Struthio camelus: one gene and its partner. The protein of the gene in region 2 binds, or shares a complex with, the protein of the main gene of each other region. Links are inferred from orthologs where the notes say so. Each region holds a gene or a part of one and is shown on either strand. Other genes may lie near its edges.

Evidence for each region. The genes of interacting proteins can lie anywhere in the genome.
Region 1: the proteins of AP2B1 (region 2) and ARRB1 are in contact, whole or in part, in a crystal structure (PDB 2IV8), measured with the Homo sapiens proteins. The link is inferred for Struthio camelus from reciprocal best matches to the Homo sapiens genes AP2B1 and ARRB1. Residues at the interface, in NP_001273.1 of Homo sapiens: Arg834, Gln835, Phe837, Leu838, Trp841, Lys842, Asn846, Glu849, Ile876, Ala877, Arg879, Val881, Glu882, Gln884, Tyr888, Glu902, Arg904; in NP_004032.2 of Homo sapiens: Asp384, Asp385, Val387, Phe388, Glu389, Phe391, Ala392, Arg393, Arg395, Leu396.

The regions. Positions count from the first base shown.
Region 1 is NC_090942.1:223,716,385-223,723,840, forward strand, and holds the start of ARRB1 (beta-arrestin-1), read right to left. Parts: upstream 3,062-7,456; 5' UTR 3,019-3,061; coding exon 2,786-3,018; intron 860-2,785; coding exon 829-859; intron 1-828. UniProt on the Homo sapiens protein: Functions in regulating agonist-mediated G-protein coupled receptor (GPCR) signaling by mediating both receptor desensitization and resensitization processes.
Region 2 is NC_090957.1:14,847,876-14,855,903, reverse strand, and holds the start of AP2B1 (AP-2 complex subunit beta), read left to right. Parts: upstream 1-5,042; 5' UTR 5,043-5,124; intron 5,125-5,711; coding exon of another isoform or gene 5,712-6,253; intron 6,254-7,169; coding exon of another isoform or gene 7,170-7,295; exon of another isoform or gene 7,296-7,603; intron 7,604-7,630; exon of another isoform or gene 7,631-7,765; intron 7,766-8,028. Other genes in the region: PEX12 (peroxisome assembly protein 12), read right to left, coding at 4,643-5,042, 5,712-6,253, 7,170-7,295. UniProt on the Homo sapiens protein: Component of the adaptor protein complex 2 (AP-2). Adaptor protein complexes function in protein transport via transport vesicles in different membrane traffic pathways.

The sequences.
Region 1 (7,456 bases), on a different chromosome or scaffold from region 2:
GGCAGATTTAGGCGTTTTTCGAGGCGCTGGGTGTCCGGCATCGGGCAGGTTGGCGGCGCGTGCAGAGACCCCACGCGCTCGTCACACGGCTGCGGGGCTCAGGCCAGGGGGCGAGTCGCGCAAATCCGGTTTGCGTCCCGCCGCCCGGCCCCGGCAATCCCGCCCGGAGCTCGTTAGCCCCCAGCCCGGCAGCAGCCCGCCATCGCGCCCTCCGGACCGGGCCGGGGTTTTTCCTCCGCCTGCCCGGAGGCTCCCGCGGGGACGGAGAGCGGGAGCGAACCCTTCCCGGAGGGATCTGCCGCCCGGCGAAGCGGCTGCTCCTTCCTCCCTCCTTCCCATCTTCCTTCCTCCTTCCCTTCCTTCCGCCCTCCCTCTTTTCTCCCTTCCTTCCTCTTTCCTTTCCATCTCCCTCCTTGCCTTCCTCCCTCCTTCCCATCTCCCTCCCTCCTTCCCTCCCTCTCTCCCTTCCTCCCTTCTTCTTTCTCTTTCCCTTCTTCCCTCCTCTTCCTCTTCCCTTCCCTTCTCCCTCCCTCGCTCTCTCCCTTCCTTTCCTCTGTGCTTCCCTTCGTCCATCCCTCCCTCCTTCTCCTCCTTTCCTTCCCTCCCTCCCTCCCTCCCTCCCCGGCCGTACATGTCCGACAGCCCAGAAAGGGTCTCGGAGCGACGTCCAGCTCCGAGCGCAAAGAAAAATCGAGGACGGCAGAGAAATGCAGACCCCCCCCATCACCCCCCATCTCCCCCCCACCGCCCCGGCAGCCCCCGTGCGGTCCAGGCTCCAGCAGCGGTGGGACCCCAGCGCCCCCCCGGACCCCCGCGGCCCCCGCTCACCTTCCCGTTGGGGCTGGCTTTCTTGAACACCCTGCAAAAGAGGAGAGGGGAAGGCGCCTTAGCGGGGAAACCGAGGCACGGAGGAGCGAGGTGCCCGGGCCAGCTCCCCCCGCCGCGCAGCCTCTCCTAGAAACGTCGGCGAAACAGGGGGCTGGCGGCCCCGCGCTCCCCCCCCCCCAGCGCGGCACGGCTGGGCGCGCGCCCAGTCCGAGGGGCGCGACGGCAGCCCAGCGAGCCGCCGCCGGGCAGAGCTCTCGCCGAGGGGGGGTCCTGGAGCGCGGGGCCCCCGCCAGCGCCGCGGCATGCCCAGGGGCTGCCCGGCACCGCTGCTGCGCAAGGTGCCGTGCAAGGTGCCGTGCAAAGGCCCTGCTGCGCAAGGTGCCGTGCAAGGTGCCGTGCAAGGTGCCGTGCAAAGGCCCTGCTGCGCAAGGTGCCGTGCAAGGTGCCGTGCAAAGGCCCTGCTGCGCAAGGTGCCGTGCAAGGTGCCGTGCAAGGTGCCGTGCAAAGGCCCTGTTGCACCAGGTGCCGCGCAAGGTGCCGTGCAAAGGCCCTGTTGCACCAGGTGCCGCGCAAGCTGCCGCGCAAAGGCCGCGCTGCCCAAAGCGCTGCCTGAGGGCCCGGAAAGGGCAGGTTTCTGCCTCGCAGGGCGCGCCGAGACGGCCCGAGCCTCCGCAAGGCGCCCAGGGAGCCTGGGCAGAGACGGGGCAGCGCCGAGCGCCAGCCCGGAGCCAGGCTGCAGCGAGGCCGCAGGCAGCGCCCAGCACGGCGCGCGGGCCGCCGGCTCCGGTCACCGGCGGAGGCCGCAGTGACCTCGGCCGCCCCTTCGACAGGCGCACAAAGACCTGCTCTTGCAGCTCAGCTGCCCCGTTTCGTAACCGAACCCCGGGTTAAGCTGCACGAGGGACGTCAGCGTGGCCGCGGGCGCCTGGCATTGCCCCTCTCCGTCCCCATCCCTGGGGGACGTGAGAGGCGGCTGCAAACGCCAGGCGCCCCCGCTATCGGCCCCCCACCCCGGGTCCTTTTATTTTTTTAAAGCGTGGCGAAGCTGGAGCAGGAAAGCAACGCCATCGATTTCCCCTGAACGCCGGGCAGAGGAGCGAGTTTCACCAGGCCTCATGTTAATGTGGCTGCCGGCTCGATCCCATTAGCTCCGCGGCCCGAGAGGGGACCTCGGGGGACAACGCGTCGAGCAACCGCACCGCGCGCTCCGCGGTCAGGCCAGCATCCGGCCGGGCGCGCGGGAAGAGCCGCCGCCGCGCGCGGGGCCACGCGGCTCGTCGCTCCCCCGCGTCCCGGACGCCGTCGCCCCGCGCCAAAAGCCGGCGATCCCTCTCCTCCGGGGGTTTCCCGCGCCCGACGCTCGGCCGAGCCGGGAGGAAAGGAGAAATCCCCCGGCTCGGGCGCCGGGTCGACGGCCACGTGCCTGCCCGAGGCTGGGTGAATCGAATCGGCCAGCGCTTCCCACCCCGCTATTTCCTCCTCCCTATTAATTATCGGCGCTGGTGGCCGCGCTCCTGCCACGGGAAACGGGGCCGAGCAGGGCGGCGCGCAGGAACCGCCGCGGGAACCACCGCCGCCACCACGGGAACTGCCACGACCGCGGGAACCGCCACCGCCGCCACCATGGGAACTGCCACGACCGCGGGAACCGCCGCCACCGCGGGAACCGCCGCCACCGCCACCATGGGAACTGCCATGACCGCGGGAACCACTGCCGCCGCGGGAACTGCCACCGCCGCCAGCACGGGAACTGCCACGACCGCGGGAACCGCCGCCGCCGCGGGAACTGCCACCGCCGCCACCATGGGAACTGCTGCCACTGCAAGAACCAGCGCGACCACGGGAACCACCACTGCGACCACGGGAACCGCTGCCACCACCACGGGAACCACTGCCGCCACCGCGGGAACCACCCCCGCCACCGCGGGAACCGCGCTGGCCCTCGGCCCGGGCACACCTGCAGCCGCACATCCGCAGCTGCCCGCGCGGAGCAGCGGCCAGGACCCCCTCGCTGCCGGCCCTTCCCGCGCTGCCCTTCGCTCGCCTGCCCCGCCTGACGCCCACCCCGTCGCAACACGTTTCCCGCGACCAGCTCGTCGACAACATCGCCCGGCCGGGCCCAAGCAGCTCCTCGCTCCGGGCCTCCTTGGCAAGGAAGCGACTTGGCTCTCGGATCCGGGATGTCTGCATCCTGCTGTTATTAGGAGAGTTTGTTCTGCAAACAAAGGCCAGGAAGCACGAGTCTCCCCCCGGGCCAGCGGCCAGCGCTGCCTCTCTCCCCGCCGCAGCCCGGACAGCTCGGCCCGCCTCGGCGCCCCCCCTCCCCGGCCCGTTCCCGCGGCCGCCTCGGCTCTGTCGGCAGCATCCAGGCCGGGATTTGGGGGGGGGGGGGGGGTCGCACCCTCGGAGAAGCCGTAAATAAGGGGGCGACGCGGCGGCGCCGGCGAGCGCACGGCTCTCACTCCGCCTGCGGACGCTTCCCGCAGCGCAGGGCTTTGAAGGGCGCTCGGCAGGCGGCTGGGAAACGCGGTGCGCTGACGCCCGCGCCGGCCCCGGGGGCACCCGCCGCCCGCGGGCAGGGAAACCCTCACGCCGGCGGCACGGGCGACGTTCAGCGCGGCCGCGCGTGCGAAACGCTGCGGCCCCGCCGCCCGAGCCAGCTGAAAACTTGCTGTTCCCCCCCCCCCCCCGCAACGGAGGCGGCCCAGCGCGCGGCTCTGCGGCCCTGCAAGCCCACGAAGGAATTGGAAGAAATGAGGTTTTTCGGGTGTTTCCGGAGTCTAAAAGCAAACCGGGGCTCTGCAAGCCCGCGACCTCGCCGTGCAAAGCCGCAGCCGACCCGGCCGCCCTCCGCGCCGGCTCCCGGGCTTTTTGGGGGGGGGGGGGGGAACCAAAGCCCCCCCCCCCCGGGTGAATGAGAAGAGATCTGTCACGCGAATCCCCGCGCGCCCTCGTCTGCTCCGGCAGACGCCCCGCGGCTCCCGGGAAACCCTCGCACCGGCGCTCCCCGGGGCAACGCGATGCGGATGTTCGCCCCATCCCCGGCGGGCTCCTTCGAAGGCCGGCAGCGGGGACCCCCGCGAGCCGCTGGCCGGCCACCGTGGGGGGCGAAGGGGCTGTTCTCACGCTCTAGAGGCTAAAACATACTTTTTTTCCGGAAAAAAACTGATGCCAGGGCAAGGGGAGACAGCCAGAGCCGGGCGCATCCGGCCCCCAAATCACGTCCTGCGACCCCACATCCATGCAGCCTTTCCGGAAGGTTCTGCAAAGAGGTTGGCCAAACCCTTGCAAAAGCGGGGCCCAAACCCTTGCAAAAGCGGGGCCCACCCTCCCTGCCCACCTCGGCCTCGGGGCCCGGCCGCCCGGGCAGCCGACGCCGGCGGTGCGCGACGGGCGCCCCCGCACGCGCGTTCGCCGCATCGACGCGCGCCCCTAGCCAGGGCCCAGGCCAGGCAGGGTCTCCCATCCGCAGGATGCTCGAAGCCCCGCAGGGTGACAACGGGCACGACGGCTCCCCCACGTCCCCCCCCCCGCCAGACCTCCAGGCCCAAAACACCCCTCGACCAGGACAACGGGGCCCGGTTGCTCCTGGTTCCCACCCGAACCCAAAAGCAAAAGCGTTTCTCAGCAGCGACGGCTCGTGTGCCCCCACCCCAGCAACGTCCAGGCGCCGGGTCCGGGTGAAAGAGAGTAATAACGTCCGCGTCGCCGATGCCTCTAGGCGCAGCGCCCAGCGGGCACCGGGCTCGGCCCAGCGCTCCCGGGACGCGCGACGCCCCATCGGGGTCGCGCAACCCCCCCGACGCGCTCCCGAAAGGCGCGGCGGCGGCCTGCCCCGCGGCTCGCGTGCTCGACGCCGCGAGAGCGGGCGCTGCCCTCACGCCCAGCCCGGGGGCTCCCGCCTCTGCTCCCCGCCGCCCCTCGGGGCTGCCGGATGAGGCCCCCGGGCTGCGACAAAAGCGGCTCTTGCAGCAGCCCTGCCAGCTGCATCCCTCGCCCCTCCCCAGCTGCAGCTGCGTTTCAGGAAAGGGGGGTTTGCGCGCAGGCGAGAGCTGCCGCCTCCAGCACGCCGACAGCCTCCAGATGTGGCAGGCGAGGCGGCTGCTCGGAGCAGCAGGCTGCGGGCCCGAGCGCACGGGGAGGGGCGGCCGGCGCCGCCGTTCCCACGGCGGGCAGCGCGCCCCGAGCGCCACCGACGCGGGGTGGGGGGGGACCTAGGGGGGGCACACGGGGACCAGGGCAGCCCGCAGCCCCGCTCGAGGGAAGCGCAGCCGTTTCCGCCTTGACCGCGGCCGCCGGCACCGTGCGACCCCGCGTCGCCGTGCCTCAGTTTCCCCTGCGCATAAGCGGCGGCGTGGGAAAGCGGCGCGGCCCCTGCCGGCGCCTCCCCGCCGCCCCCCCCGGCCCCCGACCCCCGCACTCACCGGGTGCCTTTGTCTCCCATGGCCCCCGCGGATCGCGGCCGCTCGCAGGGCAGCGCCGGCCCGAGCTTGGAAAATTACTGGGCGGCAGCTGCGCCCGGTCCGGCTCCGCTCCGCTCGGCTGGCCCGGTCCGGCTCGGCTCGGTTCGGCTCCGCTCCGCTCGGCTCCGCTCGGCTCCGCTCGGCTGTCCCGGTCCGGATCGGCTCGGCTCGGCTCCGCTCGGTTCGGCTCCGCTCGGCTCCGCTCGGCGCCGCTGTCCCGGCTCGGCCCGGCTCGGCTCGGCTCCGCTCGGCGCCGCTGTCCCGGCTCGGCCCGGCTCGGCTGTCCCGGCTCGGCTCGGCTCGGCTCGGCTCGGCTGTCCCGGTCCGGCTCGGCTCGGCTCGGCTGTCCCGGCTCGGCCCGGCTCGGCTCGGCTCGGCTGTCCCGGCTCGGCTCGGCTGTCCCGGTCCGGCCCGGCTCGGCTCGGCTGTCCCGGCTCGGCTCGGCCCGGCTCGGCTCGGCGCTGCAGAGCGCAGCCCCGCGGCGCGGCGCGGCCGCCTCCGCCCGCCCCCGAGCGGCGCGGCGCGGGCGGGGCGGGCCGCGGACACGCACGCGGGGGCGCGCAGCCACCCACCCGCGCGGCGTGGAGGTTCCGTTGGGGAGGGCGGACACGCACACGCGCGCCCCCGCGCGCAGGCAGCCGTGCATGCGCACACACGCGGCCCGGGTGCGTGCACGCACAGCGCCCCCCCCCCCCCCCCCCGCCCCTCCTCTCCGGGAGAGCGAGCGCCCCCCCCCCCCCCAAAGCCAGCGCTGTGTGCACAATCACGCGCCCCCCGCGTGCACGGGTGCACACACACCCACGCACACGACTGTACGCACGCACCCCCCCCCATGCGTGCACGCAAACACTTGTGTGCATGCACACGCCCATGGGCACAAGCATACGCACACCCCTGTGCACACCCCCCATGTGTGCACACACACACACGCACACACACACACCCCTGTACGCACGCACCCCCCCACGCAAACACTTGCGTGCATGCACACCCCCATGTGCACGAGCACACGCAGGCCCCTGTGCACACACACACTACCCATGTGCACACACGCACGCACCCATGTGCACACACACACACAAACCCCAGTGTGCATGCACACACCCCTGTGCACAAGCGCACACACACACACAGCCGCCTGTGTGCATGCACACCCCCATGTGCACGAGCACACGCAGACCCCTGTGCACACACACACTACCCATGTGCATGCTCACACACACGCAAACCCCTGTGTGCATGCACACCCCCCTGTGCACAAGCGCACACACACACACACACACACAGCCCCCTGTGTGCATGCACACCCCCATGTGCACGAGCACACGCAGGCCCCTGTGCACACACACACTACCCATGTGCACACACGCACCCATGTGCACACACACACAAACCCCTGCGCACACACACGCACAAACTCCTATGTGCATGCACACCCCCCTGTGCACGAGCACACGCAGACCCCTGTGCACACACCCCCCCCATGCGCACACCCCCCCAGGCCTCTGCGTGCATGCACACACCGGTGTGCAAGCACACCCCACGAGTGCCCACCCAGCCCTGAGTCCCTGCGCATACACCATGTGCGCATACACCCCTGTGCACCAACCCACATACCTGCGTGCACACACACTCCTGTGCACACACACTCCTGTATGCACGCACACCCACCCCGTGCACGCACACCCACCCACCCGTGAGCACGTGCCCCCACGCGAGCACCCCCACGTGCATGCACACCCCTGTGAACACACACATAAACCTCTATTCACACACACCCCCCGTGCACACACAAGCACGCATGTGAGCACACACTCACGCATACACCCGTGTGCATGCACAGCCCCCACGTGACCACACACACCCTTTTGAGCACGCACACCCCCCTACCCTTACAGGCACACAAACTTGTGTGCAAACCAGCACACGCCCGTGTGCACACCCACCCACCCACGTACCCCCCCCATCCCTCACAGCTGGACTGATCCATCCCTCCCTGCACCACGGCCTCTCAGGGCAGGGTCCCAGCACCCCCGTGGGTCCCAGCCCCCCATGGGTCCCAGCACCCCCGTGGGTCCCAGCCCCCCATGGGTCCCAATGCTCCCGTGAGTTTCACCACCACCATGATGTTCCCAGCCCCCTCCATGGGTCCCAGCACCCCCGTG
Region 2 (8,028 bases):
AAGAATCAACCCAGAACCAATTATGTGTTTGTTGTGTTTTTTTTTTTCCTCTCCCTAAGAATATATTCTAGTTCCTGACTGGAGAGCAATGTCCTTATTGAACAGAAATGAGATTCGCCCAAAGCAATGATGAGTGAAGTATTATCTGAACTGGTATTGCTGAGACTTTGTGTCTTTGCTCTGACCAGGGCGTGATCACGTAATCTTCTCTCTGAGCTTATTTAGGCTAAGTTCATCTCAGACTTAGATGAAAAGAAACTGTTGTTTCTTGAAAGTGTGTGATGCAGCTCTTAAAAGTAGTGAAAAATATGATTACTTTTCTAGCATTTTTTTTGCAGCAGCAGCAGCAGAAAAAAGTTCAACCTTGATTTGAAAAGTGAGTTGTGTAAATACTTGTTTGGATTTCTGTATCTTGCTGCCACATTGGTTTTATCACTGAGCTTGCTGTGACAGGGGTTTCTTGGCTTTCCTCCCATGGTAAAACATGTCCCACACAGACTCTAGATGGTCTGCCACTGTATCATCCATTTGTAAATACAGTGCGGACTCTGTAAAATGGAGGTTATCCTGTAGAGACCTCATGACCACTTGGTTCAGCTGTCTTATCATCCAATGATTGCGAGCACTGAGACAGGAGTATTTTTAGCAGTGAGCTGTGCTGTTGGGCCTGGCTCTGGTGCTCTGCTCTCTCTCAGGCTGCATGTCAAGATATGAGATGGGAGGGGCTGGCAGCAGCAGCGTAATGTGGCTGCTTCCCTGTTGGTAGGGCAGAGGATGTTAAAATTCGGGTATTGGAAAAAATGCAGTAATCAAGCACTCCCCAAAAGTCTTCACAGGAGAGGGTATTTATTACATGTTATGCACTGGGGTTTCCTGGGAGAAAGTTACTGGGAACACTTTCCCTTTATGCCCTAGGAGGACCAGGCTAGGCAGGAGTCACACAGAGCCCGATATGTGAGCTAGAGCCCAGCATGATTCACATCAGCTGTTTCACAATGATTTGTCTGTTGTATGCAAGGTGTTTTTTTCTTTAAGCTGTGTTATAGACTCAGATTTTTAGTTGTGCATGAGTAGTACAATATACAGCTATGTTTCCGTAACTTCTAAAATCTAAATGCTGTGAAACAAAATGGATTCTCTAGCTCTAGGAAGTGATTTGTATCTCGGAAAGCACAGGAACAATTTCACTAAAGAAAATTTGCAGATAGTATAATGAGTTAGGTTGAATTTTGATTCTTTTGCCTTGATGAACTCTCCAAATATCTTTAGTATTAGAGTCAGTGTTATGCTTTCAAATGGCTGCTTGTGATGGCATGTGACTCCCTAACCTGGAAAGGTATCTAGAAACAAAAGCACCCAGACTCTGTGGGCTGATGCAGAGGGCATTTTTAATTTTGGGGGTTTTGTTCTGGTTGTTTTTTCCAAAAGCCATCAGTATCACCTGGATGTTTGACTTTAGATAGTTTGCATTTAGTGAGGGGTGGGACTAATCGAAACACATGGAGTTGTGTGGGATAAGGTGCAGCCCTTTCACCAGCCACAAAGACTGGGCTAATAAGCAGGTGCAGAAGAAGATATGGAGGTATTCTCTAATCCTGTTCTCATTTTCTTCTAGGTCTCGATGACAGCTTTACATTCACCTCTCACTTGTGTGGAGAGGGAAGCTTCTATGGGGGAGGTGTATGTTTTATGTTGGGTTTTGTTCTTATCAAGCTAGGAGAATAGATATGGTGGTTATCTCTTAACAAGAGAGGCTATGCAGTTTCCGTTAAGGAAGTAGGGAAAGCAACTCAATTGTTAATGCACTCATGTTTTGAACAGTGACCGAGTTGTAATGAAGCTAAGCCGCATTCAAACATTTTTTAAAAAAAACACTGGAAAAATCAAGTTATGACAGTGAGGTATTAGGTAACTCCAGTGCCACTGTTAATGTTGAAGTAATTGTATTAAGCAACAGATCAAAGCTTCCTGAGCGTATATATGATACATGAGTGTATAGCGCTCCCAATTTGTATGTAAATGTGAAGGCTGGTGTAATAAAAGAGTATTTATTTCCTTAACAAGTCTTTCTTTGTATGTCTTGATACCATCACGGCTTTAACAGTACTATTGCAGTGTACAAAGTAGAAAAAGGGGATGTTTGAGTAATGTGCATTGGTTTTGTAGCTTTGTTTAGAGCAGCCAACTTAATGTAACAGGTATTTGGCTACTAAGCACAGGCCAGTTAGCAAAAGCAGTCAGATCCAAACTGGTATCCTGCAGCCACCTGCAGGAACACTAATAAAATCTGCCCGGTAACTGCCAAGTGTGTCACCATTATGGACTTAATGCCTATTAGTCAGATAGGCTTTAAAGAGCAATTTAACATTCAAAAGAATAATTACAGCTGTCCTAAACTGTGAAGCTTAGATGTGGGTGGTTCTGAGCAGGTCCCAGGTGGAGTCGGCCAAATCTGTTTGGCAGGAACTCAGCATTGTACAGCATGGGGGAGGAGAGAGATGGAGTGGAAGGCAGCCAGAGCCGGACAGGAGGCCATCCAGTGGCCACTCTGGAGAGGGAAATAGTTATTAACTCTGAGATCACTCGTTACCTGCTTGCCCAGTTTCTCACTGAGCAAGAGAGAGAGAATCTGGAAGGTATAGAAAGGACCGAAGGAAAACAAACCTATCTTAAAACTGAATAGTCAGTCAAATCCTGCAGCTCTTATTAAATGAGCGGTTGCTCTGGAGTCAATGGGACAGTCAGTGCCATGTCTGTATAATCAGACTGGTTATTTTAAGACCATGTAGCAACAGGGGAGCATCTTGGATAGTGGCTTTTCATTAGAGATGATAATCTCAGTGTATGAAGCAAAACTGATGTAGCAAGTGATGTGAGTTAATATGAAGCCCAAAGCCAGCTATATTAAAAGTGATTTAAAATCTCAGAAAATCTTGCATTCAATGTGATTTCTTTTCCAATAAGCTGTGTGTAAGTACTCTTAACAGCTTTCTAAAGGAAGAGAGGTATCTCTTTTCTATCAATCCCAGAACTACTGGAGGTAAGAAAAAACGTGACAGTTTTTGTTGTTATCCCATAGCGGCAGAGTTAGAAGGGGCTGGCAGTTGTATAGAAATAATAAGCATTGGGGACTTATCTCATTTGTTAGAAAAGTTGTGTGGTGTGTGTTTGTTTGTGTGTTTTTTCCCAGAGCACCTTTGGGAGAATGCAAATTACTGTATTTTTCCAGCCTATTCAATACACTCGTTATCTTGCTCACAGATGAGGGACAATTTTATTGATTTTTTTTTTTCTGAAGCAGGGCTAAAATGGGGGGGGGGAAATGAGATCATTGGTTTTATGGATTAAATGTTAGAGCATATCTCTTAATCTGGAAAGACAGTATACTCTGTGCAGCAAACTCTGCTTCATATTCTATAGGCAATGTCACCGTGATGTCTGGAGCAGATAACTGCTGCTCCCTCGAGATGAGTCAAGAAAATCAACCTTCTGTCAATAAAAATCATGTGTCTGATCAGTCAGTGGTCTGAAGCCAGGACCACCCATAACATCATGCACATTTCCTTCTATTCCCTGTTCAATGTGCTACATGATCAGTCTAGATTGGGACTGGAATAACAGCAATGTAATACTAAATTCAAACACAGATATTACAGCTTTCCAGCCTGCAAAATACTAATCTTTTATCTATGACCATCATCTGCAAAGATAAGAGCAGCTTTAGTCTAGTCTCCTTTGTGCAAATAAAGATCCTAGAGGAGCAAACTTTCTTTTTTCAAACATTAGAAAAGAAACAAATGCAGTTCATTTAGTTCAAATGGGTTCTAAATCAAGAAAGAATTTTGCTTTGTAAAAGCAGATAACAACAGATTTGAGGACACATCTAACAAAAAAAAAAAAACAGTTCACAATTGCTGCTTTAATCTAGTTTGTCTTCCTCCCTGGTAGTCTTGTATCTGTGTTTGTACACATTATACATATCATCTCTTGTTCCTTTAAAGAGTCAAAGCCTTAATTTAGAACTGTTGATGGGAATTAGAGGTGTAATGTTATCATTAATTCAGAGGCGAGTAGCCTGAAAATGCATGGAGGCACTTAAGAATACCATGGTCAGAAAAGAGGTCAAAGTCTGTCTCTACCTCTTTAAGAAGCGCTAGTGCCAGAACCTGCCCCAGGCAGTACTAGAGTCTGTGAAGCGGCTAAGGGTGGAATAGCTCGCCTGGACAATTTTTGTAGCTCTCCAATTTGCTGGCCATACCCTCGAGCAGGATTTTTGCCAGCAGTGCTCTTTGGTTCTCACATCTGCATTCTTATTATCCAAATCAATGTCTCCTCCCATTCAGTTTGCCTTTGAAGGTGTTTCTATGCTGACTGACAGATCGTGACTGTCCTACCCTTCTGGAGCTTTGTCATGGGATGTTTGAATGGCTAAAAAACAAGAGGGCGAGCCTTATCGAAGTTTACCAAGGCAGCAAAAGTCTAATCTGTAGGACTCAAAGGAGCTTTAGAGATCCACTTGCAAGTTGTATTGGTCGATGGTCTTCTCGGGGACATCAGAAAGGGCAAATTCAGGCTCGTTGCTACCCAGTGGCCCTGCCACTCAGTCTCAGATGCATCTCTGTGAAAGCACAGAGCCGGCCTTTCAGCTCTCAGGGGAATACAGTTTGACAAGGTGCTGTAGCTCTGTGGCATAGCCTGTGACTGGGCATCGTTGGTGAGTCTTCACGTAATTATACACGCAGCGGTAGCAAAATACATAGCCAGACGTGGACAGGACCGTGGCATTGGCTCGAATTTTGCGGCACAGCGGGCACATGGTCTTCAGTTTAGGTAAGAGAGCTGAGTCCGCCCCATGGTCAAGGTGTACTGGTGGTGGAGGAGTAGGGAGCGCTGTCAGAGATTTGATCGTCTCTTGGTTTTCCGAGGAGTACCACCACTCCAGGAACTGAAGGAAGAATACGCTGACAGACAGCCCAGTGGACAGGGAGAAGGCAATGCCACCCAAAGCTTTCTTCATTGCTGACTGCACTTGTGCCTTAATGCTGTGGCAGGGAGAGAAGGAAAGGAGAAATTAGCAGTACTGCACATTTGTCCCTCTGCAAACCAAGGCTAAAAAGGTTTGGGGTAAGTTACTGCTCTATACAGCTTCTTAATGCTAAATGATTTTGTTAACATGTTCCATGTTTGTAATGAGACATCTGCTAGGGTGTTGCTCTCAGATTCTTTGTGTTTTAAGAAGAGCATAGCATCTCTAGGAAAATGTCAAGTCCTGTTTTATTCAGAGGTCTAAATCAGAAGAGTTTGGGTTGAGGGGACCTGGATCACAGAACATTTCACTCATGGACCATCATTTTACAGGACATTAAATGTGACCATGACTAGTTGTGGCTAAGTTTCAGTCCTTTTAGCAAAATGGGTACAGTCTGCTTCCCTTAATAGAAAAGGGCAGCTAAAGATTGAATGGAACGGAGGCTGGAGTGCCAAAAAAGCATTCTGATTTTATTAGCACAAACTCCTGTGAAGCTAATGCCTCTTACTTTGTTCCTTATTTACACTTACTATCATGACATTCCCTTTTGGAGCAGGGTTTTGCCACATGTAAACTTCATCTTTCTGGAGAACAAGACAGCTTAACCTAGGGGCGTTGCCTCTACGTCAGCCCACCCACAGAACCTCCTAGCAAGTAGCTGCTAAGCAGAGTTCTAATGTACCTGTGTGTCCGACTCGAGGCGGCTACTGCAGATTTCTTCTCCAAGGCCTGGATATCATCTGCAGTCAGTCTCACCAGGCGAACGCCAGCCAGCTGCAGCATGGGTGAATGATGCTGAGCTTTCCCGAGGATATAGCACAGTTGCTGGATAAGAAACCAGCCCTCCCAGGCCATGTTTACAAATGGATAGGCAGCTAGAAAGGCTCTGTAAAAGCGCTTCCAGGACGATGAGGGAGGGTGGATGGAGTACTCATCCTCTTCCCTCAGACTGGACACCAGTTTCTCTAGCTTTCCTTTCAGGTAAGGAACAAGAACAAGCAAAAGGAGAGACTTCCAGTGCTGCTTCTTTGGCAGGCCAGCACTGGCCAGCGATTGTTTGCAGTCTCCTATTGCTATCCTCTTTAAGCCATAGAAGTTTTCAGAAAAAGAGGCACTGCACCTGGCCAGATACTGCTGCTGGAGCAGTAAATCCAGGAGGATGTAGATCTCATCAAACCAACGCCAGAGGGAGCCATATCGGCCAGGATTCGACTCAGCCAGCACCTATTGAAAGAAACACAAAATGGGGAAGGAGCTGATGGTGCAGACAGATGCTAAATTACAGTAACTGTAAACTATGCCTGCAGTTCATAAAGTGAGCTGAATGGGTCAAAACTGCTATGCTTGCTCACAGCTGTGGCCAAATGTGAATCCTGGTGATGAAAAGCTCAGCTGAGAGAGCGGTGTTCAAACTCTCGACGTTCTCTCTGTGCAGCAGTTTCCCCTCAAAGCATTCACTGTCAAGTATTCACTGTCTACATTACCTGTCCTCGCTAAAGGCATGCCTCCCTGCGTATGAATACAGTTGAGCTCTCTTGAGTCAACGGGACACAAGCCAACTCTGTTTTCCATCTTGATTCTGGCTTGCTTGAATCAAGGGCAGAGGGAGCTTGCATCAGTCTGCACCCTCTGTGCAGGCGCAGACTGCTTGTCCTGCACTTCAGCTACCGTCTTGGACAGGCCATGTAACCCTTCTGCTGAGTTTCCTCTAGGGACCTTCCCCACGACACAACACTGTTGAGAAAGGCGGTTAACGCTTGCCAGGCAGTCTGAAGACAGCTTCCAGTAAGCAGTTTCTGAAGAGCACAAGGGAAATGAGAAACATAATACCGAAGGGACTTGTTTTTTTGGAGAGAGGCTCCTGTAGACTCACAGGGAGGGCGCCCAGCAGCCCCTCACATCGCCTCCGACGCCAGGACCCATGCGCCGCAATAGGGCAACAGGTCTGCTTACGCGCGGGAGCAGCACGCTGCCCAGTAATGAACCCTTCCAGCCACGCACCAAACCCACCACCGCCAACATCTCCTGTCCTCTGGGTGAAGCGTGCGTCGCCCACCGTTTCATGGAGAACAGCCATTTCACAGAAAAGAGCCGTTTCATGGAAAGTGGGCCCAGGGAACGGGAGGCGCCGGGCCCTTACCTTGGCCAGGTGCTGCAGGGCCGGCTTCACGGCGGCCATCAGGCTGTCCTGGGCCACCGCCTCGAAGATGGAGGGCCGGTCGTCGCCGGCCGGGGTGGCCGTGAGGTGGGCCCCGAGCTCGGCCATGGCGCCGCCCCCGCCGGCAGGGGGAGCCGGCGGCCCCCACGCCCTCAACGCGGCGGCGGAGCGCGGCGGCCTCGGGGCTCTCCCCCGGAAGTGGGGCGCGGCGGCGCTCTGTCTCCGCCTCGCGCCCCTCTATGGTGGCAGGGGCGCGGCCGCTCTAGGCGGGGGGAGGGTTGATTCTCGCTCCTCGCGAGTCCTCCCGGCCGCTCCGCTCCGCTCCGCTTCCGCTTCCGCCGCGGCCGCCCCCACAGCCGGTGTGTCCGTCGCCGCCCGCCGCCGTGAGTGGGGCGGGGGCGCCGGGGCACTGGGAGGTGCTGGGGGCACTGGGAGGGGTCGGCAGTACTGGGAGGGGGAAGTGGGAGGTGGTAGGGGATCCTGGGAGGGGGCACTGGGATGGGATGGGGGGGGTACTGGGGTGGAGACTCTACTGGGCCGCTGGAGGGGAGCACTGGGAGGACTGGGAAGGGATAGGGGTGAGTACTGGGAGGGGACCCTGGGGGACTAGGATGAGGGGTGTGTGCTGGGGTGGGGACTGGGTGGGGGGGGTCAGTGCTGGGGGGGACTGGGCAGGGGTGGGGGCGAGATCTGGGGGCCTGGGAGGAGGCTGGGAAAGTGAGTGCTGGAACTGGGAGGACTGGGGGGAATGGGCAGGGGTTGGGGGGCAAATCCTGGAGAATTAGGCAAGGGAGAAGTGCAGGGAGTGATTGCTGAGGGTATGGGGGGGCAAAAGTGGGAC